3 linked regions of the Tamandua tetradactyla genome follow. The main gene of each other region encodes a partner of the protein of the gene in region 2 in a complex. Links are inferred from orthologs where the notes say so. Each region holds a gene or a part of one and is shown on either strand. Other genes may lie near its edges.

Region 1 (7,339 bases), on a different chromosome or scaffold from region 2:
GTTAAGCAAAACTAACGCACACAACATAAAAGCAAGCTTGAACGAGAAAAGTCTGACTCTAGAAGGGAAATGAATCACTGGCAATGAGCAGCCAGAACAAAAACGGCTTTATTTGGACCAAATGACAACACCAGCAGATGGAATGGACCTATATAGAGAAGGAGGCTCTGACACCGAGCCCTGCTTCTCCTGCAAACGTGCATTCAAATTAGCTTGCCTGTGGCAGCTTAAATTAAAAGCTGTCGAGTATGAAGGAATGAGAGGTGAGCTTCCCCACAGAGCTGCTGTGGTATCAGCTGATGTTCTTCATAAAGCAATGAAAAGTTTATCAGAGACATCTATCCCACTTACACTGTGAGGAATTAAAGTTGGGAAGAGGGAAATACCATAGTGGGAATCAATGACCTCAAGGACTCAGAAAAGGAAAATTATGGCCTCAAATGTCAAGAGCAAACTCAATTGATTAAGGAAAAAAACTAAAGTAATCTTCAGATACTGGTGAATCCAATGGCCTCAGCACTAGGGGAAGGGAAACAACAAGTCAGATCCCAGGACAATAATGATACCCATAGTGAGGGTCAAAGTTGTGGGAGACAGACACAAAGAACCATTGTCTTTCAGTACAGAGAACAGAGTGTCCCTCGTCCCTGTGCTCCCAACAGGAGCTGTGTTCACAGTCTCAGCAGACCAGAGGACACTGCTCATTCCCAGCAGCTCCCACCCTAGACACACCGACCTCGGTGGACCTTGAACTCACATCCTCCAGGAGCCGTCCTTCTACCCGAAGCTCCCAGGAAGCCACTGTCCCTTCCCCATCCTCGGCATCTGATTTAGCCGGATTGAAAGTGTTAGAAATGAAAATTCGCAACTTCCGTTTTTGCTGTGGGGAAGGCAGAAACAGGATTGATGGTGGGGCTTCAGCGGTTTGATGTTGCAGACAAGGATCTCCCCAAACCCCAAAATTACTCCTAACAAACTGGCTTACTGTCTACCCAGTCCCTAGGGTTGGTGGAGATTCCATCCAGGAGAAGAACACAGGCCACTGGCCTGAGTGCAAGTGCATACACAGGGATGCCGGGTGGATAATCATGCAAGGTGCCAGGATCCCAAGATGGGAGAGCAGTTATAACAAAAACACGGACAAGGTATATTTCTGATGCAAGAGACATCAAAAGCCCCTCCCCTTTGCCATTCTGTTCTTATGCTCCTAATGTAATTCTCTCTTTGTAGGCAGAAGGGAGAGATCCAATTTAAATGCCAGAGAGAGCTATGTTATGCCTTTGATTTCTCACTAAGACTGCTGAAGTTTCCCAAGTTCTCTCCTTTGGCTTTCTGCCTAGCACTCTCCTGTGTTACCTTGATGGGACGTTTCAAGGCCTCTTGGATATCTAGCCGTTTCCTCATGATAGTCTGGTCCAGTTTCCTTTCAAAAGCCAAGAGATCCATATAGGCCTGGGATTCTGGCACCAGTTCACGAATCTTCAGAACAGAAAGATAACAATTAGGTTCTAGAGCTGACCATCTCTATTCTCAAACTCACTGTATCCTCAAGAAAACCTATAGTCTGGACTCACCCTTTGAGGTAGAATTTTGTCAGCCATCTTCTTTTTCTTTGCACTGTTCAGAATAAATACTGTTATTAGATGAGATGAAACTAGTCAGAACATGAAAACAAGCTGTCAGCACTCCATTTATAGAATGTGGAGGGGCTGCAAAGCTCCTCTCAAATCAAAGAGCTCCCCTTTCACATTCTCATTCTTGAGAAATGAGTCCTGCAGCCCCAGACTGCTGACAGGGAACCACTATTTCTTGGTTCAGAATACTCCCACCACCTTTGTTCTCATAGATCTCCCCCCTCCCTCCCTCTGCCCCAGAGTCATCTTACTTGTGGTTTCGATTCTGGACCGCCTGCTGCTGGACCTGCTGGATCTGCTGAGGCGCAGGTCTCTTGCGGGACTGGTCCATCCCTGACTGTGTCAGGCCAGGTCGGACTGAAGGGTTCCCCCCATAGCCAGGGGGTCCCATGGAAGGTCCCTGAGGTGTCATTCGGCTGCCTGGCAGCATACCTGGTCGCTATAGAGGGAAAAGGACCCAGAGATGTCATGGTTTCCCCTATTAAGACCAACAAGAAAGGAAAAGTGAGGGATGCCTGAGTTCTTTAAATGAAACCAGACTGGTATGGTAATGTCGAAATACAAGCAACTGGGACTTTCTCCACTCCAACTGTGATTCCATGGGTCAATATAGCCCAGAAAATAAGCGATAACCAGAATACACTCAAATGCTCTCTCCTATCTACCCTAGATCTGACACATTTACCTCCCACATTTACTCTGCCAGCTATTACCTCCTTAGAACTTGACCCCAATTTGCCAGCTATACCCTCTGTCTTCCTCTGGGCACTAGAGCTGCCAAGCCCCTGTGGGCTCCAGCCCTTACCTGCCCACCCCTGGCCCGAGGCCGTCAACCCTGATCTCATACCCTGACATGCACGGAAACAATACTCCTTTTGGAGTAGGTAGGGATGCTAAATGTCTCCCCCTCCTATTCTTCGCACTAATTCTCCTCACTCTACACAGGGCTTGAATTCCTCCCAGGGGAGCCCCTCCTACTTCTCCCCCCACCACACCCCTGTCACTCCTGAGCCCCCATCGGCCCCGCCTCCGGCCCGAGCGCTCCTCCTCCTGCCCTACTCACTGGATAGGCCGCTCCGGGCATCGGTGACCGGTAAAGCCCTTGACCCGGAGCTGGGCCCATTCGCACTGGGGGCCCCGGAGTCCCGCCTGGACCCAGCGCGGCCGCCGCGCCCGCCCCTCCTGAGGCTCCGGCGGCGCCGCTTGGAGCCACTGACTGGAAACCCGCCCGGGCCGCCATCTTCCCCGGAGCCGCTGCCGCAGCTGCACAAAGAACCGGAACCGGAACTCCCCCTGTCCTCCGCGCGCCCCCCGAGAGCCCGGCTGTCCGCCCGCCGGCCCGCCTGGCCCGGGAGGCTCAGGGTAGCGAGACTGTGGGCTAGAGCGGGAGGGCTAGCGGAAAAGGCTGAGCTTGACCACTCCCTCCAGCCCTCACGGTCCGGGAGGGACGACCACAGAGATGAGCTCTGGGATAGAGAGCCACTGTGAGCGAGCGCCCTCAAGCCGACGGGAGGAAGACAAAGACCTGGAAAAGGCGGACCCCAGCCCCAGCCTCAACCTTCTGATGCAGAGGATGGCAGAGTAACTGCTTCGTCCAGGCGCAGCGTCCTTAACCTTCCAAAGTGCTTTGACTGTTTTCATTTCACTCCCTATTGCTATATCTACGGGGTGCTGAGGATGAGAACGCACTATTTATTCTATTCTACAATGTAGCTCAGAGGGTAAATGACTTGGCAGAGGTCATCTATCAAGTTAGTAACAAAGCAAAGCCTAGAATCCAGATCTACTTACTGGCTTCTAGCCCGGGGCTCATTCCACAGATAAAATGCCTGAATAACTACCTCATTCTGGAACTTCAACCCAACTTGTTCCTAACCTTTAACCTAACCTGATTCCAGATTTTAAATTCCAGTTTATCTTGAATTTGACTCTGTCCTCCTCTCCAAAAAATCCATTGTGGTGGGACTTCTCTCTGGGGTCTTTGTTGTCTTTGGCCTCTCCCTCTTTACCTGCTCAGTGGTTCAAACCATTCCCAGAGAGATGGTCAGCCTGTTCTATTCTAGGAGGATCAGGACCTCCCTACTCAAACCCTGTTCTTACTCCTCCCCCTCATTCTTTGGAGCCAAGCCAAGTTCAGCATTAGGCAATTGATGGGAAGACCTGAATAACTTTCCAAATAACTGAAGAACAACACTGAAAAGGAGATGGTTGAAACCCAGTTTATTACACCAGAGGCATGCGTCACTCAGAGCCACACCTGCTGTTCCCCATCCAGTGCACACTTTTGGCCTTGCTCCTGATTCCCTTTGGGAAGGTGTGCTCTCTAAGAACTCCTAAGAATCAGGAGTTGCCAAAGATCCTACAGCTTCACTCACCAGCTCCAGGCCAATGCACAGGTGACCTACCCATAGGTCCTGTTCCAGGGTTGGAGACCAAGAGAAGGCTGGGCAGAGAAGGTCTGGGAAGGGGTTGGGACTGTGGGCTGGGAGGGATGCCTGTGGAAGGGAGAGGGGGCTAATCCTCTCCCTCACTTGCCTCTCATTAAGGTAGCGTGGAACAGAACAGCAGAGCTTTCAACTTTTCCTCTAGGCCTGTCTCTTTCCTCCCACTGCACACCTTACCTCACCAGAAAATGTGAGTGGCAGGCTTGAATATCAGGTGAGAAAAGGGAACTGGGCACCCAGAAGGAGGGAAAGACCATGACTGAGGACCTCAGCTTCTTCCTGTCCGCACTCCGCTACCCCCACTACAGGAGTGATTGACCCCCAGCTTCCTTCTGAATCTGGCACTCCAGCCTCTAGCTTGGGAGAAAGATTCTCCTTGGCTTAGGGTGTAGACTAGGTCCCCATTCCCTGGATGGGGGCTATCACTGTAGCAACATTCCCCCCTTCTCCTCAGAGGCTGGAACCAGCCAGGTAAAGGGTACTGGGGAGGGTGGAGCAGAGGAAGAGAATGTTAAGGCTGCAGGGAGGGCAGAGTATACCCAGGTTGGGAGGAGAGGATGAGGCCAGAAAGAGGCAGAGCTTGTGATTCACAGCTTCCTTTATGTCGCCACCAAGACAGTGCGAAGTTTACAATGCGTGTGTCGTCTCCTTGTGCTTCTCAGAGGGATGTGTGTACACAGTACAGACACCAGGGGAGAGAGTCCAACTCTTTATACAGGCGAAGGCATTCAGAAACCAGGGGGAGGGGGAGTCAGAGACACAGAAGGGGGAACTCAGGGTAGGGGGTGGTTTCCAGAGACAAGAGTGTATGGGGAGAGACAGACAGGGTTGGAGAAAAGTATATACAGAGATATAGCAATATAGAGTCTGTATCATATAGAAATAGAAAATGCAGATGAGGTTGTTGAGAGAAGCAAATGGAGTTGGGGAAAAGGACTTGGGAGAGTTCCATAAGAAAATTTATGGATGTGGCCCTCTGCAGGGGCCCCTGGGAGAAGGACCAGTGATTTCAGGCACCAGTAACCCTCTCCCTGAGCTGGAAACCAACCAGCGGGGTCTTTTATGGGATGTAAGAGGACGGCTGCTTCTTGGGATTTCTTTCCAGCAGCTACGGCTCTAGTGTGGGGGTGAACGTGTAAGTATCGGGGTGTGGCCTACAGCACCAGGGCCGCATCTTGCCCCCGTCTCCAATTCAGAGGATCACTGCACCCAGCCCCCTAGGGACTCCACATGGTGTGAGGAAGTGAGACTGGGGTCTTACTTTCTGCCTGAAGACTTGGGATTGGGGTGGGGGTGGGGGATCACTGCGTTGAGGGGGTCTCTTAAGGCTAGGAAAGCCCCTTCCCAGCCCTCCCCCTCAAGATACATTCTCTGGTTTGGGGCCAAATTCCAGACCCCAAGGATCCCCTGCCCCACCCACTGGGGGGGCTTTGGTGACTGGTGGCAGCAGAATGTAGGTGGACGCTCAGATGACAGACGGAGAGAATTCAGGCTGGAAGCTAGGGGAGGCAGCATGGGGCAGAGCAGGTCAGCCTGAGGTCCCTTGCCCCCTTCTCTCTTTTTAATTTCTTTTTTAGATTAGTTTAGTTTTGTTTAAAAAACAAACAAAAAAAGGGATAGAGGCAGGGAGAGTATGGTCAGGTCAAAACTCCTTCCTCACCACAGAGGAGAGGAAAGGATTGTCCAGGAGTGGGGGACTGCCCTAGGAGGTGGCCATAAGTCCTGGAGCCGATTGAAGGGGGCAGCCGGGGGAGGGGACGGGGCCCCTGCTCTCCTAGCCCTCCCCATCTAGGCCTTTGGTACAGGGGCCTGCAGGGCTCAGCAGGTAAAGTCCTCGAACGTGCCTCGGGCCGGATGGTGAGGTAGGATGTTGGCAGCGTACGTCATCCCGGCAGGATGGCCCCGGAGGCTTTCGCAGGGGTTCTAGAAGGGCACACACAGGACAGGGACTGGTTATCAGCGTCACAGGTGTCACTGGGGTGTGGAGGAGGCAAAGGAAGGATGGTGTGAAGGCACGGGTGGGGCGTGGGGGGTAGGTGGGGGCGGGCCCCGGGGCAGCGAGGGGAGGGTGGGCCCCGACGCCACCTCTCGCTGGCTTCCTCACGTGTCTTTTCACGTCGTCCAGGCTGAGAGCCACACCCTTATCCGCGCTGCTCCTTTTGGCTTCCTTCTGGCACTTCCCTCTCCGGCACAATTTGTGCTTAATGACCTGCGACAGGCGGCGGGGTGGGGTGGGACCCCTTCCGTAGGCTCCGCCCCTCGGCGTAGGCCCCACCCCCACCCCACCCCCACCGCTTACCTCGTAGGCGTAGTCAAAAAGCTCCAGCACCGTGAGGATGCTGGCCCCGATGAACAGCCCCATCTGGCCCCCGATGTCACCTGCGGGAGGGGTGCGTGGAGGTCAGGGAGGTCACCGTGGGGGCGGCACGGCTCGCAGTAACAGGGGCGAACAAATCCTATTCACGAGGGTGTTGACAACCTTCATGCACGGGCGCAAAGCCAGCTTCTGGTGGGGTTTTTATGTGTTTTTTTTTTTTCCAGCATTTTCTACTTTTCTAAAATGCATAGGTATTATTTCACGTAAAACAGTTGCTTACAAAATACCCAACACTCTTAGTCTCTGGACCAGTTTTCAGAGAGTGTGAAATAGCCCCTGTAACCCTTGTCCCTCCCCCGTCCCCATGCCCATGGGCCGCTCGCTTTACCCTAAGAAAAGGCTCAGCCCTCTTGCCCCACCACATACCAAGGCAGCAGGGTTTGGGGAAGGGTTCCTGGAGTGGGGACCATATGAGACAGAGGTGAGCAGGGAGTCAGGCCCCGCCCATGGCAAGGGAAGGAACAGGTGCATTCAGTAGCTCACCCAGGAGCCCTGCAATCTCATAGGCCTTCTTCTGCTCAATGGTCTCATAGTTGAGGACTTCAAAGAAAATGTCCAGCACCAAGATGTTCTCCCTTCAGTGAGGTTGGGGGAGGAGACACAGGTTCAAGTCATAGCTCTGCCTTTCACAAGCTGGGTGACCTTCACAAGTTAGCCTTTCTGAATCTCAGTCTCTGGATCATAAAATGAGATGCTAAAGCTAATGTACCTTGTAGAAGGATTGAATGAGATGGTGTATAGGAAAAGACACTGCACACCTGATCATAGTGGCGGCAATGAGGATGAAGACAGAGGATAAAGCTGGGGAGCGGGGAGAGAGGAATGCTTCCTCTGCTTACTGTGGCTTGGTCTTCCCTCCATGCCCACCGCAGACTGGTTGGTTG
Region 2 (7,150 bases):
CTAATTAGGCCATCTAGGTGAACAAACCCTCCTCCTAGCACAAAGGTGCAGCTTAGGTACTGCTGAGGGTGAGGGAGCATGAAGGGACCACTTTCCCTCTTCTTAAAGATATATGGCTCCATACAGAACCCAACATTCCTGATTAAAACCTTGAAGACAGAACACAATGAAGAGAGAAAAAGAGCAAAATAAAAATAAAATAGGATGCATTAAAAAGTACAAAAATTGTGATTTCTAAGCAAATCTTTTAAGTATCACAGTAGGTCCTATCTTTATATCTTGGAAGACAAGAAAAAAGAAACATACCTAGGGATGCAGAGAAAAAGTTAGCCGATTTCTATTTCAAAGCTCTAAAATGACTGAAACATTAGAAAACTAGTTTTTTATATTACAGGATCAAATGATAAATTTCACCAAATCAAGTCTTCAGGAGAAAATCCCTCTTAACATCATGAAATACAGACATTAGCTTCCCTTTAAATTGAGCTGCTCTGCCAAAGTTTAATTAACAAAAAAAAGAGTGTTAGATTCAACATGTAAACAAAGAATGAGGTCACAAACAGAACACTTGAACCTAATACAAAATTCTCTCAAAAAGCTTCCAGTTCTCCAAACTAAGAAAAAAAAAAAAAAAAGTACTACTCCCGAATAAAGATCTCACATTCACCACTCAATAAAATGCCCAGTAAAATAATTTCAATTCTGAAAAGCAAACAAGATCGAAATTACTCAAGACAAATGCATCTTCAGAATCATCAAAGAAGTCATTTATACCATCAGGAAAGTCAAAACCAAAACAAACAGCAAACCCATTGTAGAGAAAAACTCAGCTACTGTTCTGACAACACAGCATCTATTTCAGGCTGCATAAAACATAACAAGCAAAATAAATCCAAGGTACAAGTGAAATGCCATTGCCTCTCTTTTGTTTTGTGCACAATGTAACAAGGGCAACCTGTCTGGGGCTTTGCTCCTGCTGATACAGTATTGCTGCTTAAACCTCCCTCCTCAAGGTCACAGCCAATTTCAGCTCTGGAATAAAAGGCAGATAGTGGCAGCGATGGTTTGGGTTATCACTGGCAGAAAAGCAGAGTGTAAAAGTTTATGAGCTCATCAGGATTGTTGTACCATTACATCAGAGGCAATTATAAATGGCCAAGAGCAGGAGATGGGGAGCCAATCAGATCACAGATAGGATGTCAACCTAAGACCAACTGTCTCCTGGCTTTGACAGAAGGATTTTACCTCCATAATTCAAATCCCAAACCAAAGCAATCTGCACTTACTACTCCAATCACTCAGCTGTTTACCAGCACTTCCAGGGAGAAGCCCGGGCCACAGGGCCGAAGAAGACTAAGACCGGGGATGGCCCGGGCTGTCCTGGGTGAACCGCAGCCGGCTTCTAGCGGCCTCCAAGCAGGCCCCTGCCCTCCCTCGAGCCTGAGGGGCCCCTCCTTGAAAGCACAGAAGGGGAACGGCCTAGAGGAAGCAAGGGGGCAGAGAGGAGTGGCAGGTGAGCAAAAAACTGTTCTCTTAACTCCCGAAGCTCCTGCCACTGCCTATATCGCTAACCTGAGTCCCCAGCCCCGGCTCACCCCAGGCAAGGCCCTTCGCCGCCCACTCTGCCCCACAACCCCTCTGAAGACCCCCAGAGTTCTAAGGAACTAGGAGAGAGGGGGAAGGGGAGCAGACACCTCTGTGAAAGCCCCACACAAAGGCTGAAGGAGGAAAGGAGAGGTAGGCAGAGAGGCAGCCATTTTAAGAAAGAAGAGCCAGACAATGGCAGGTCCCCAGGAGTGGGGGCCCGGGACTGGGGGAAGCCCACGGCTGTGGCCGGTTTCCCGCTGCCGCCACCCACCTCCCAGAACCCCGCTAGCCCCAGCCCCCTCCCCACTCAGCTGTGTACCTGCGGGGTCCGGGCGAGCGACTGCCCCCCGCCGCCGCTGCTCCCGGGGCTCATGGGCGCGTGGTGGCTCCTTTGTTGGGCCCCTCCCGAGGCGGCCGCCGCCGCCGCCGCTGCCGCCGCAGCCCCCCAACACTGCGAGGCCATGTCCGCCGGGCCCTTGCCGGCGCCTCCGTCCTGGGGCCCGCCGCCGTAGTCACCCCCGGGGTAGCCCTGGTAGCCCCGGGCCGAGCTGGGCGACGTGAGCAGTTGGTTGAGGGTGGGGGTGGCGGTAGGTTGGGGGGTTCCCCCGCCGGCCGCTGAGGGGCCGCCTCCCCCCATGGCCCCGAAGCGCTGTTGAGCGAAGGACGAAGACGACGAAGAGGCGGAGGCGCTGGAAGAGGGAGGCGGCTTGGAGCCGGCGGCCGCCGCCGCGCCGGGGCCCGGAGTGCCGCCTCTCGGGGAGCTCAGCGCGTAGGCCTGGGAGGGCGGGGGGTAGGCGCTGCGGTTGGGGTAGTAGGAGTTGTACTGATGGTTAGGGAAGCCGTGGTCGTGCGAGTTCTGCTGGGGCCCCGCGTAGGGCTCCAGGCCCCCGCCGCCGCCGCTCTGCAGCGCTGCCAGGCCAGGGCTTTGTTGTCCGCCATGTTGTTGGTGGAAGACGGCGGCCGCGGCGGCGGCGACGGCCGACGGACTCCGGCCGTAGGGCTGCCCGAAGCCGTAGGCTGGGGGCGGCAAGGCGGCCGTGGCCGAGTGAGGAGGCGCCCCCACCCCGTCGCTGCTACCGCCACCACCGCCGCCGGGCGGCTCCGTGAGGTTATTGTTCAGGGCGGGCCTAGGGCCCGCGTTCCCGTTCGAGTTCTTCAGGTCCGGCTCCGCGCCGGACCCGCCGCTGCCGGCTCCGCCGCCGCCACCCCCATTGCTCTCGGCCCCGTCCTGCAGCTCCTTTCCCAGCGGCTGCGGCGGCCCCACGGCGGGACCCTCGCTTTCCTGCCCGGCGGCTGCCTTCATTTCCCCGCGCTCGGCCGCTGCCGTCGCCTCGCCCCCCGCCTCCTCCCGCTGCTGCTGCTCCGCTTTCTTCAGCTCCGAGGGCGGCGGCGGCGGGTTACCCAGGCTGCTGGCGGCGGCGGGGGCGACCTGCGCGGCCATGATCCCCGCTGTCTCGTCCGAGGAGAGACCCGGCCCTGTCTTCGTCTTCTCCCCCCCCTCCCACCCCTCCCCGGGGCCGAGTCCCCCGGGCTGCCCTCCCCACCCGCCCGGGCGGGCCTCGCGGGGCTCCGCTGCTGCGCTGCGCTCGCTCGCTCCTCTCCCCCCCGCCCCGCCGGCTCAGGCTCCGGGCTGGCGGTGGCGGAGGAGGAGGAGGCGGCGGCGGCCGAGGCGCCGGCGGCTTAGCTGCTCTCGGCTCTGGAGGCTCGGGACCCGGCTCTCCCGGCTCATTCCCCCCAAGCCCTTGCCTGGGAATGAGGGGGGCGGTGGAGGCTCCGCTCCCCAGGGCCTGGCCCCGCTGTGACTCTCCGCTTTCTGCTGCCGGAGAAAGGAGGAGGGAGGGAGGGAGGGAGGGAGGGAGGGAGGCGAGGGGGAGGGGGCGGGGAGGGAGGGAGGGAGCGGGGGGAGGGGGACCCGGGACGGGCGGGCTGGAGGGCGCGCGGCAGCAACCCGGGCGCCGGGAGGGAAAATCGGAACGCGGGCCGGGTGCCGTGCCTCCCCTCCCCGGCCACGGCTCGGGCCGAGGCTGCTGTGCGGCCGCGAGCGGGCGAGCGGGCAGGCGGCCGGACTGAGTGGCTAGAGCGCCCCACTCTCCTCCGAGTCCCCCTCACTCCGACACGAGGCTCAGCACTGCCATTTTACCCAGCGCCGTCGCGGCCGCCTGGCAAACCCGAAATGGAACACGGAACGGGCGCGGGCCGCGGAACGAACTCTCTCCCTTCCCCTCACAAAGGAGGAGGGGAAAGAACAAGCCTTGGCGGCTGTAGGCCCTCGGTAGCTTTAGCTCGGCCGCGCCGCCGCTGAAGGCATCGGGGAAAACCTGGCCCGGACTTCCCACCTCTGTGGAACCTGCGCCGCTTCCCTCCCGGCGTTCCCATCCCAACCGGTGGCGGCACGGAAGGGAGCCGGCAGCGTGAACTTTACCCGCGGCTGCAAAATTGGCCTGAGCCCGAGACCACGGCCGCCAGGGCTCTGGCCTGACCCCCTGGCAGTGGGCCTGGTCTCTTGGCAGCTACTTAGCACCTCTGCTGCAAACCGGCTCTAAAGATCCAGCTGAGTAAGGCAGTGGGTCCCAGCATTTTACCTAGGTAGCTGGCCTAAGGATCATTGTTTTTTTGCTATCCTACCTCCATTATCCTGTCCTGACAAGGCCTTGGGGTCCAGATTATCACCATTTCATAGAATTGAAATATAGAGAGGGGAAGGGACTTGTCTTGGGTCACAAAGTTAGAGGACAGAGGAAGGTGGCTTTAAAAAGAAGTGGAGTCCCCAAGGCTGATTCCTGTCTATTTATCCTTTTAAAAAAAGCAGTCAAGTTGTGGACAAATCCAGTGATGGGATCAGAATATCAGAATAAGGATGGGTTTGAGATCAAAGCTGCTCAGCTCACCACAGATTTAAAGTGGTCTCAATGGAAGCTGCTTTGGAGGCATATGGCAGTCAGACATCAAGTAGAATATGAGCCCCTTCTCTATCTCCTAAAAGAGCTTAGCCCACAATGATCAATACCCAAAGGCAGCCCCTACAGCCTGTGGAAGAGGCTTCCTGGGCTGGAGGTACCTGATGTTCAAACAAACCACTGAAGAAAAGGGATGGCCAAAAGGAGGGAAACAATTTTATCCTTAAAGAAACAGAAAAGTCACAGTCTAAAAGGTCATTCAGAAAACAGATGCAACCCAGATTTGTTTCTTATTCCTCAGTGTAAAGATTCTTTAAAGTTTACCATCACATTCTAAGAAAACCTGATGGAACTGGAGTTAGGTATATGTTAGTTAGGTCAGGTTTATTTGAAAAGATCAAGGCATACATAAAAAAACTCCAGCGTTGCCCAGCAGCCTTTTCCTCCTCAGGCTGACTTGGAATGCTCTGACATGACAGGCTATGAAAGCCAGAGGGGATTCCAACTCCTCACCAGGCTCACAGATGCCTTAAGAGAGGCCCAGACAAGCGTTTCTAGACCCCAGAGCTTCTTTTCCCCTCAGATTTTATAAATGGAGACTTCATCATTATCTTAGCACTTTCAGATTCTGCAGGCCCCTGCAGGAGTCCTTACCAAGCTACTGGTCACTGTGAATAATTCCAAAAGCCTGAGCTCATTTCTAACACCCCCCCCCCAAAAAAAATCTTAGAGCATCCTACACTAAAAAGGCAAAACCATCCTCCTAATCTAAAACATTGCCTTTTTTTCCCCCAAAGTCAAGAATTGAAACCCTACCAAGAAGATCCAATTCACTGGAATGGGCCAGTGCCTTAGTTTCATTCATAGTCCAGGGACAACAACTTTCCTAGTGTATTACGTTAAAGAAACCAAATTATATTCTGCCTCATAAATGGAGTTTGGTTATTAACCACTTGCCCGTGAACTGGCAAACAGTCCTGAGTCCTGCACACAAATGAGGAATTTTTACATGCAGTTGCCCTGTCATTTTCCTCAGAGCTTAAGTGTAATGGGAAACTTGGAGCCAGTGTATATCTGGAAGCCTGAATGGATGTCTCCAAAAGAAACCCTCATCATTCCCTTTCTTCAGTGGCTGTGAAATATGGAAAGTGCCAAAATTCCTCTCCCTACATGTGAGCATTGTTTTGAAAACAGCCACCATTTTTATCTAGCAATTAGGTGAATTGCCCAAAATCTATCCACCTGGACTGGGGGAGGTAACACGGGATTTCTTTCTTTCTTTTTTTAATTCCAACTCGTTTAGGATCCTTTTCTATCCCTACCTTTAGAGCCCTACACCCCCATCCTGGAATCGCACGCCTGAAGGGAACTTTCTTAGAAACTAGCCCACAAACTCTCTCTAGGGGTACAGGGAAAGGGGGGGAGGGGAGGAAGCTGGGCACGTGGCTGGCCCGAGCTGCGAGACCCAGCTAGGGACTACGAGTCCTCCCCTCGGTGGAGTTTTCTTCCCCATGGCCCCTGCCATTTAACCCCGCACCCAGGCAGCTCAGGAATCCCGACGCAGATTGGAGAACTAGGACTAGGACAGCGCTACCCTCATGAAAGCGCCTCAACCACCAACAGCCTGATGGCAAATACGGACTGAATCGTTGACATGGAAACCGGACTAAAGTCTCGCTTGCTCTCCACACAGGAGAGTTCTTATCACCGTCCCCGACCGCACGGCACTTGGGCAAACGTGGACTGGATCTACCTCCCGGAGGATCTGGCGGGGTTTCTGGACACAACATTAACTCCAGCGGCCGCGGCCGCCGGGTAAAGGGAGTACGGCTGCCAGGACAAACAGACTGAAAATGGCAGAGGATGTGCTCTCATTTTACCCAGCTGCACATTGCGCATGAATTGGGCCCGAGAACAAGGGAACAACCTATTAGATTCCACACAGTCAACTGCAAAATGTGGATCCGAGACCTGGAAGGTTAAGAGAGGAAAACGTTTGTAGGGAGGATAGCTCTTCCTCTCTCGCGCTTTGCTTTCCCAAAAGATCTGAAATACAAAACTCAACAAACAAAAGGTCAGGCTTTGCTCCTCATCAGGACTCCTTCCTTCCCCCATTCCTCGGGGGGGGGGGGGGACTTTTTAAGCTCTGAACTAAAGCGCGGGGAATCGGTGGTTGCTGCCCCCACACCCATTCCAGCCGCGGCAAAACAGCAGACACCCAGCGGAGCTCGCGAGTGCGAACTGGAGCAGCGAGTTTGAGCAAAAGGGCAACTCCGTCAGTTGACGGAAGCCAGAAGCGGAATTCAAAGTCTGGCATGGATTTCCGCCTGGAGCTGTCTGTTTCTTAAAGTTTGTAACTCCGTGTTAAGAAACAGCCCCAGTGGAGGCTTTGGGATCAGTGTGAAAGTCTAGCACTATCATCTGACAGCGAGCTGCAAAACTTTGGGCTGCATATTAAGAGAGGAAAGTGGATTGAAGCGAGAGTCAAGGCAATTCATTATGTTACCGGCTACCAGGCGGGAACTGTAAAATATGAACTGGAGTGACACCGAGAAAAATGGAATGGAGCCTGAATGGCGCTCAAAAACCCTTCCTGGTAAAACTGTGCCTGCCAAAAACCTTTAGAATCCCAAAGGAATAACCAAGGATGCATCAAGTTTGGTGGG
Region 3 (7,925 bases), about 100 Mb from region 2:
AAAACTCTCCCAAAAGTTATATAAACAAAGGAGGGGAGAAGCCCAGTATGGGCTTTGCACCCATGTGCTACAAAAATTACATAACACACGGTGCAGATATTAAATAAGGAATGGATTCTGCACAACACCCCCACTCCCTCGACTCCCTTCTTCCCTTAAAAAAATCCAAACGCCTGACCAGACCAAATGGACGACTTTGAATATTTATCTTATTGCTGGAGCAAATCCTGCGAGAGTCGGAGGCACATTTAGGCCCGAAGTTTGAAGGTGGAACAGCCCCAGGGCGCAGCGACTCACACTCTCCGGACCTGAAGGAGAAAGGTCTGACAAGCGACAGCAGCCAGCAAGGCCTTCTTTTTCCTCCTCCACGGTGCCTCCCGCTGTAAAGTTTTCCACGCAATCGATGGGAGGACAAGGAGCCAGTTCCCCCCGCCTGCCTGACTTTGCAGGCAGGAAAGGCGAGCGGGGAGATCAGAGGGGGCCGGCAGGGAAAGAGCTGGAAAGCTCCGCACAACGCGGGCGGTGGCAGTGGCGGCGCAGGCTGCTTACCTGGGGGACTCGGAACAAAAAGCGGCGCTGGGACTCCGAGAGCCTGCGGGGTCGGCGCGGTCCACCGCCCGGAGCGTGGTTCTTCCCCAGAGCTCTAGGCCCGCGCCGGAGCCCGGGGCCCGGCCCCCGCCGCCGCTTCCTTCCTCGCGCGCGTCATGTCACGGCGATCAAACATGTCTGTGTGCGCTTCGCTGCTGTGACTTCCTGATTCTCTGCCGCTCGCGCGCGCACACACACACTCACATTCACACGAGCACGTCACCCCCAGCAGCTCCCGCCGCCAAACCTCGTCTTTCCCTCCCTGAGCTCCTCGGGAGGGCGCGGGCGGGAGCGGCTGCCCGCGCGGCGACTCCAGACGCACTCGCCCCGACGCGCACAACGCACACTCACACTCACGCGCAGGCACCCTCGCCCCGGCCCCGAGGGCGCCGAGACGCAAGCTGCTGGCGCTCGCCGCCCCCTCCCATCCCTCCACCGTAGTTAGCCTCCCTGCCAAACTTTTTTTTTTTTCCTGCCTGATCCACGTCCAACTTCTCTCCACCCCCAACCCCCAAGCAGCCCGGCAAGCCTGGCGCTCACCACCATACGCCGCAAACGGCGACCGTATAAAAATAATAGCAATCGGGCGGCGGAGGCGGGGGCAAGCGCGCAGACACTGGCAGCAGGCGGTTTCCCCGCGTGTACCGGAAACCGGCGCGAGTGCCCAGGCCAGCGCGCTGGGTGTCCCGGAGCCCGCACTGCTGTGCCCCGCCCCACAAGGTGCAACTGCGCCCAGGCTGTGAGGCCTGTGCAGGGTACCAGGGCACCGGGCTCGGCGTGTGCTCTGCGGTCGGTGGGCGCCCGGGGACTGGCGCGCCGGACCGGTTATTTGGGGAAGTGCATCGCGACACCTTTGCAGATGGCATGGCAGCATTTGCAACGCAAACGGGAGGAGGGAAGGCGGGCGGGTGAAGGGGGGTTGGAAGAGCTGAGTAAGGGGTAAACCAGGTTGGGATGGGAATAAAGCAAACTCGAAAGCATGGAGCGAGAAGGAAGGGGTCCGTGTCATCGTTGGGAGGAAGCTCCCACCCCATCTCCCAGCCTCCCTCCCTCGCTACCCCCTATCCTCCCCCTCAGCCCTTTCCCTTTTAGCCGGCGAACGCCACCACCGCTGCCCGGGTGCGTGAGAGTTCTGTTTGTGACAGTCAGGCAGAGAGGATTATCCGGATCATGGCCTCCTCGGCCCGCAGCCGCCTTGGCTCTCCTGGGCCCCAGCGAGCCCCTAGCACCCGAACGATCACCGGCGACCCACGCCCGCTGCTCCCCAAGCCCTAGCCAAGGGAAAGAAGCGAAGCAAAAGAAAACAAACCCGGGGAGGGGGAGGGTAGTGTAACTGAACCTGGCTGGCACCTCCGACCTCCTTCTTCGGGGCCTCCTCTCTCCCTCCCAGCGATGCTGCCGGGGCCGGACACCCCGAACTTCAACACCCGAGCCTGCACGGCCGCCAGGTACCAGGAGCAGGGATGCCCGCAGCGCCCGGGGCGTACCCCCCGCCCTCCCCCCGCCCCGTAGCCGCTTTGCCCAAAGGCCTTGCTGTCTATCTGCCAGCGGCCCCGTCCCCGCCGGAGGGAACGCGGAAAGTGCAGGTGACACCTCGGATCCGGCGCTCACCAGCCCGGCGGCTTGTAGCTGCCGCTTTCTCCGCGCGTCAGCTTCGGCTTCTCCCGCCGCAATCCACTCGCGTCTCCGCAGTCGGAGCCCTTTAAACAAATCCCCCGGAGCGGTGGCAGCCGCGTCCGCTGGCGCCCCGCCGCCTGCCCGGACTCTTCGTCCTCCTCTCCCGCTCCCCTTCCAACTCTTCCGGGGAGGATTGCTCGGGATGAACTGTCGCGTTTCCATTCTCCTCCACCTCCCCCCAAGCCTCCCCCCCCCCCCCCCGGCTTTTAAGGGGATGGGGCGGATTACAACCTTGCCGAGTGTGTGTGTGTTGCAACCTTAAGTTGGCAGCGCATTGCCGACTGCCTACACAGGGTCAAGGCTGTGGTTTGTTGGTTTTTCCTCCTGGCTCCCTCTAAGTAGTAATTATTATTATTATTATTAGAACAGCAAGGTTCAGTTGAAACTTTCCCGTTTCTTCCACACCCGCCCGGCAGCTGTCGTTAGAGCATTCCACCTGAGGCCCGCGGGGAGGAGGCGGGCTTTTTTGTTGTTGTGTCGGTTGGCCCGCCTGTTTGTTTTGGTCTCCGTGCATGCACAATAAATAATAATTAGGAGAATAATGAATAATCCCCAGCGAAGGCGGCGCAGTGCTGGAGGGGGTTTGCGCCGCGGCTCCAGCGGGCAGCCCCGAGGGAGGGGAAAGAGGAGAAAGGAGTTGTAAGTTATATTTACCTTGCTCGCGAGGAGTGTGCTAGCTGAATCTCTTCCCTCTCTGAGTCACCCAGAGTACAGAAACAGAGGGAGAGAGGACTAGATTATGAATATGACTTCATTGATGACAGCCATCCCCTCCTCTTCCTAAACTCGGGCTCCGCCCCGCGTCCCACCCTCGCCGCCTCCACGGGCGCCGGAAGACGCGCCGCAGTTGGCCCCGAGAGCCGCTCCTCCCTGCCCGGCCGGGCGCGGGTTGGTGGGACGCGCCTGTCACTCGCTCGGCTCGGCGACTCCGCGAGCGCGGGGGGAGGAGGGGGCGGTGTGCAAGAATGTAGACCGAGACAGCTCTACTGTACTGGATCCGTGTGTGGCTGCAAGGCGCCGGCTCTAGGGCTGTGTTTTTGCCTGGGGCGGATAAACTGCGCAGGACGCAGAAAGCCCCGAGCCCTGATGGAGTTGGGCGTCTGTTATTCCTGCCTTGGCAGTCCTCTTCCCCAGGCGCTGCGGGCCGCCTCCGGGGAGGCTGGAGGGGAGGAGGAGGCGAAGCGAAAGGGAGGGAAGCCGTAGTAATAGCGCGTAGTAGTTTGGGGGTATGTGGGGAAGGTGCTGGAATTTAACTGTCTCCGCCTGCCAGTGCGAGCCTGCGGAGAGAAAAGGAGGGGACAGGGAGAGGCTCTAAGTGGCACCAAAAGCTGTTGGTGGCACGGTGCTGACCGAGGGGGGAAAAAAGGGGGCATTATCGTGCCGGTTGAAACTTTTTCTTCTCCGTTCCCCACCCCGGGCTGTAATTACAAATCTGCTCCCTCCCCCCCCCCCCCCCATAGGGTAGCAGGCACAAAGAACATTCCTGCCAAATCAGTCTCTTCTCCAAAGGATTGCAAGCTTCCAAATGCCAGTGAGGGGAGAAACAGCTGAGAGGCTGAACGCCTTATAAATAAATAAGCCCGCTTTAACCCCTCTGTATATTCCGTGGAGTAGACATAGCACTGTAACCTTCCTCATCTGTCATTTTCGTGTAAAATATATACAAAAATATAGAAAAACAACCCGATGCGGGGGCGGGGCAAGCGAGCTCGGGGGCAGTTGAAGAACGGAATCTGCTTTTGATTTAAGAGGGGGAATAAATCTCTTTTTCTCTACAGCCCATCGTCTCTTCTCTCCCACTCCACATTTAAGACCAATTAAGGCTACAAATAGTAAACCTCGGGCACTTCACGGTTTTGAGATCTCTTGTTCTAATTTTCTTTGAAACATGGTACTTTGGTCGGACCAATAGGTCAGGGTTTGCTGAGACAATTTTATTTTTAGTTTTATGAAGTGTGAAAGAATGTTGGGAGATTTTAAATCAGGGGCCTATTATTTTAGACTCAGATTAATGTAGGTGCTTGACTCTTAAAATTAAAACTGTTCCTACACGGGAGTGTTATGAAAACTATGATTTATCCCTTATTTTGTAATGTAATGGCTTAAATTAGTCATTCCAAGTGCACTGTGACTTTGGTTGAGGATTTTTTCCCCTAGAGTAAAATCCTATCCTATCACCATTTTGCTATTGCAACATTGACTCTACTTGAGCAACCAGATCTGAAATGCAGTTCTAGGATGCTTGAAACTACAGGCTGAATAAATTGAAGACAAGAAGCCGTGGAAAGAACACCAAATACTCCATGTGGCATTATGTGGCAGGTATTGTTCACATGCCAGTCCATTGCTAGCTGAAGCCTGGTGTGCAAAGACACCGTTTTTGGAGTGGCTAGGAGTATCAATTATCCCCCATCCTGAGGTTTTCCAAGGCCTTGTTACTTGATTGTTAACTTTGTCCTCCTAATTTTCTGTCTAGCCCAAAGTGAACCTCAAGACAACAAAAGATAGCACACCTAAGTGAAATAGAGTATAGTATGCCCTGAAGAATCCGTTGTAAGAACTTGTTTTCCCTGCCTGAGGGCCAACATAACTATTAACTGAGAAATATACAGCAAGAAATCTTAAGCAAAAATTGTAGTAAAAGTATAATAAAAATACTAACTTCTAACTGTCTAATAAATTGCAACTAATCATATAGCCAGATAACTCAGTTGTCTATAAAAGGCTCTGTAAGATAATGACAATGTACATTACATTAGATAATATTAGGTTTAAATTTGTTTTTGCTTCCCTTGCATGCCAACCTCACATGCCAACTTGCAGAAATCGATGACTTCATCTTTATTCCCTCACGAATGAGTGTCCTTTATCCCACCTCCACCTGCCATGCCAAATTTCAAAGAGAACATCACCTTAGTAAGACACTGATGATGAGACTGGCCATTCCTTCTGGCATTTTGTCAAAGGGAAAGTAAAGAAGAAAGCATTCCCTTTGTATATGTGTGTATTCTTCAGCTCACATAAAATTTTGATGTAGTACTTGGGGCTACAGGAGAGGATGGTATCCATCTATTAGAGGCACAACTATGGGAATTTAAAAACAAGATCTTCATTGGGGGCACAGATTAAATATAGATTTTTCATCTCCTTTTCCCTCACATTAGTCTAAGAAAGCACCACCTTCTCCCTTCAGATCTTTCCTCTGAAGAATCATCTTGTTTATGGTTTGCATTACAGCAAATAAGAATTTTATAAAATAAGTCCTAAACTCAGGAGAAATGAAAGAGCACCATCATTCACTTGGTACAAAAAGAATGCAGAACACCTAGCATGAGCTTCATCTCTGAGGTAAGGCAAAATTTAACAATTGATGTTAAGGAGGAAAATGATGGGATTCTTTTGTTTTGCAGAAAATCACACAAAAGCAAATATGGTTGGAGGCTAAAAGGACTCCAGGAGGCTGCACAGGATGCTATATTCACATGAAGCTTTTCGTTTTGGACTTTGATGAGTCATAATGTGTTCTCAGAACTAGCTTTTCTCTTTCTAGTTTGGCATCAAGGGATGGAAGTCACTTTTTCATTTCTGTGTGGCCATATTCACTTGTTATGTAACTCTGCTTTAGTTCTGTAAAGAGTAAGATACTGGGTTTGAAAATTGATATCTAGTGACAAAATACTCATAAAGAAAAATTCCATGCACAAAGTTAGGGAGCTTCTAGTTTCAACAGACAAGCTGTTAATGTTTACTAAAATGTTGCCTAACTTCAAAGAAGAGCAGGTAAGACCATTTAGGGAATAGGTACTTCATCTACAATAATGGAAACTAAGCTTTGACAGACTGAATCAGCTGACATTTAATTTAATGAAGAGAATTTAGCATTAGCAAATAAATTTATTGGAGAAATGTATTTAGAATTAGCAAATAAATTTATTGTAGAAATAAACACTTCTCTCTCTCCTTTTTTCCCCTCAATCAATAATCCCAGTAGATCTTGTCTCCTCACAATCATTCCTCCAAAATACCACCTCAATTCTCTTTGTGATCATATCACTTTCTAGTTTGTCCTCGGTCCATTCTCAATCCATTATAGGATAAATTTCATACTTAGCGTGTTCTCCAAGGCTGTGCCTGGACAGGTCCCTACCAGCCTCATTGACCATCTCAAAATGCCTGAGCTCTGGGAAACCTGGTCTATCTTTTGGTTCCAAAGGAGACTTCCTTCCTCGTCCACATTCCCTCTGACTGAAATGCAGGTCCTCACCCCACATCCTCCAAGACTCAGCAATGGCCCAGCGTCCTTCCAGTGGCCCTCCTTCCCTTCCCCGGGCAGAGGAGACCCCTTGTCCTATTCTGCTTCCATAGCAACCAGTGTGTACCTCCATTATAGCACTTATCACTTTGATGCGATTATTTGTTTGGTATTCTCCACTAGATGGTTAGTGCCTGGAGGATGTAGAGCAAGTTCAATTCATCTTTGAAGCCCCAGCAATTAGCAGGGTGCCCAGCACATTGTATGCTGTTAAAAGAAAAAAAAAAGTTTGTTGAATGAAAGGATGAGACATATATTAAAATTATAGAGAATTCATAAGATCTTTGTTGTTAGCAATTATCATGTTAATGAACAAGATTACTAAGTGTTCAGAAGCTTTGTATTATTTTCTAAGCTGAAAAGGCTGACATGTTTTTGGGTTTTATTTTGTTTTGTTTAAGGGAGAGAAGGTGAGGAGAAGCTATAGCTCTTGCCATAACACGAAGAGTATTGAGAGGAGTTTGCTTGTTTGGGTTTTTGTTTTTTTTTTTAATTAGGCTAAGAATAACACAAATGAATACATGGTAATTGTGTAATAGACTAATAATAATTATGATAGTAACTCCCTTTTGTTTCTCCTTTAAATCGTATGCCAGAATTTGTAAAAGCCCTTTACATATGCCATTAAATCCTTTGAGATTTGTGATATTAAACCCATTTTACCGATGAGAAAACATTTTTTGAGATGACAGATAATTTGCCTAAGGCAGGTTCTCCTAAGTGGAGTGGGCAAGACAAATCAGTGGGAGGTGGGAAGAATGTTAGAAAGTCTGTTTCTTTTTCTTTCAATGATAAAAGAAATGTAGTGATGCAAAAATTTTTTAAATGAGCCTTATTAATGTTTATCACACTCATTCACTGTGGGGCCTTTACATGGTCCCTGAGTCAGCTGGCCATATACCCTGTATTGTACCTGACGAATGCAGAGGCCATGAGGCCAGGGCAGGAGTCCCCAACACAGAGGGCTGACAGTGGCGTCCCCTCTGGTTCTTTCACTTTCTGGGTATTGATATCACCTGAAGCTGATTCGATGGTAAATGGACTCACAAGGTAATATTTTCTAGTTTTAAACAAGCAACCCTCCTATTTAGGAAGCAAATGGCTTAAAAAGATTTCTACAGAGAAATCAAAGACTGAGAGACTGCCAGTAATGACAGCCCAGGTGAAAATCAGTGTCAGATCTGCGGCTTGAACTTCGAATAGCACATTGTCCACCATGTTGAGAAGTAAAAACAGGATCTGACAAGAGAAAGGTTAAAAACCATTCACAATTATCCAAAAGACTACATGAAATTTAGACATAAGCTATCATTAATGATGAATTCTGGCCTAAGAATATATTTTACCT

What was found.
Region 1: ARID1A (region 2) and SMARCD1 share a complex: the UniProt entries of both Homo sapiens proteins name them as parts of the neuron-specific chromatin remodeling complex. The link is inferred for Tamandua tetradactyla from reciprocal best matches to the Homo sapiens genes ARID1A and SMARCD1.
Region 3: ARID1A (region 2) and SMARCA2 share a complex: the UniProt entries of both Homo sapiens proteins name them as parts of the neuron-specific chromatin remodeling complex. The link is inferred for Tamandua tetradactyla from reciprocal best matches to the Homo sapiens genes ARID1A and SMARCA2.

Annotation. Positions count from the first base shown.
Region 1 is NC_135333.1:111,100,464-111,107,802, reverse strand, and holds the start of SMARCD1 (SWI/SNF-related matrix-associated actin-dependent regulator of chromatin subfamily D member 1), read right to left. Parts: upstream 3,095-7,339; 5' UTR 2,875-3,094; coding exon 2,698-2,874; intron 2,074-2,697; coding exon 1,886-2,073; intron 1,618-1,885; coding exon 1,575-1,617; intron 1,480-1,574; coding exon 1,357-1,479; intron 881-1,356; coding exon 758-880; intron 1-757. Other genes in the region: ASIC1 (acid-sensing ion channel 1), read right to left, coding at 5,897-6,001, 6,183-6,287, 6,378-6,457, 6,939-7,030. UniProt on the Homo sapiens protein: Involved in transcriptional activation and repression of select genes by chromatin remodeling (alteration of DNA-nucleosome topology).
Region 2 is NC_135328.1:199,507,557-199,514,706, forward strand, and holds the start of ARID1A (AT-rich interactive domain-containing protein 1A), read right to left. Parts: upstream 3,085-7,150; 5' UTR 3,029-3,084; coding exon 1,907-3,028; intron 1,885-1,906; exon of another isoform or gene 956-1,884; intron 1-955. UniProt on the Homo sapiens protein: Involved in transcriptional activation and repression of select genes by chromatin remodeling (alteration of DNA-nucleosome topology).
Region 3 is NC_135328.1:96,172,329-96,180,253, forward strand, and holds the start of SMARCA2 (SWI/SNF-related matrix-associated actin-dependent regulator of chromatin subfamily A member 2), read right to left. Parts: upstream 3,095-7,925; 5' UTR 2,920-3,094; intron 2,434-2,919; exon of another isoform or gene 2,200-2,433; intron 924-2,199; exon of another isoform or gene 550-923; intron 1-549. UniProt on the Homo sapiens protein: ATPase involved in transcriptional activation and repression of select genes by chromatin remodeling (alteration of DNA-nucleosome topology).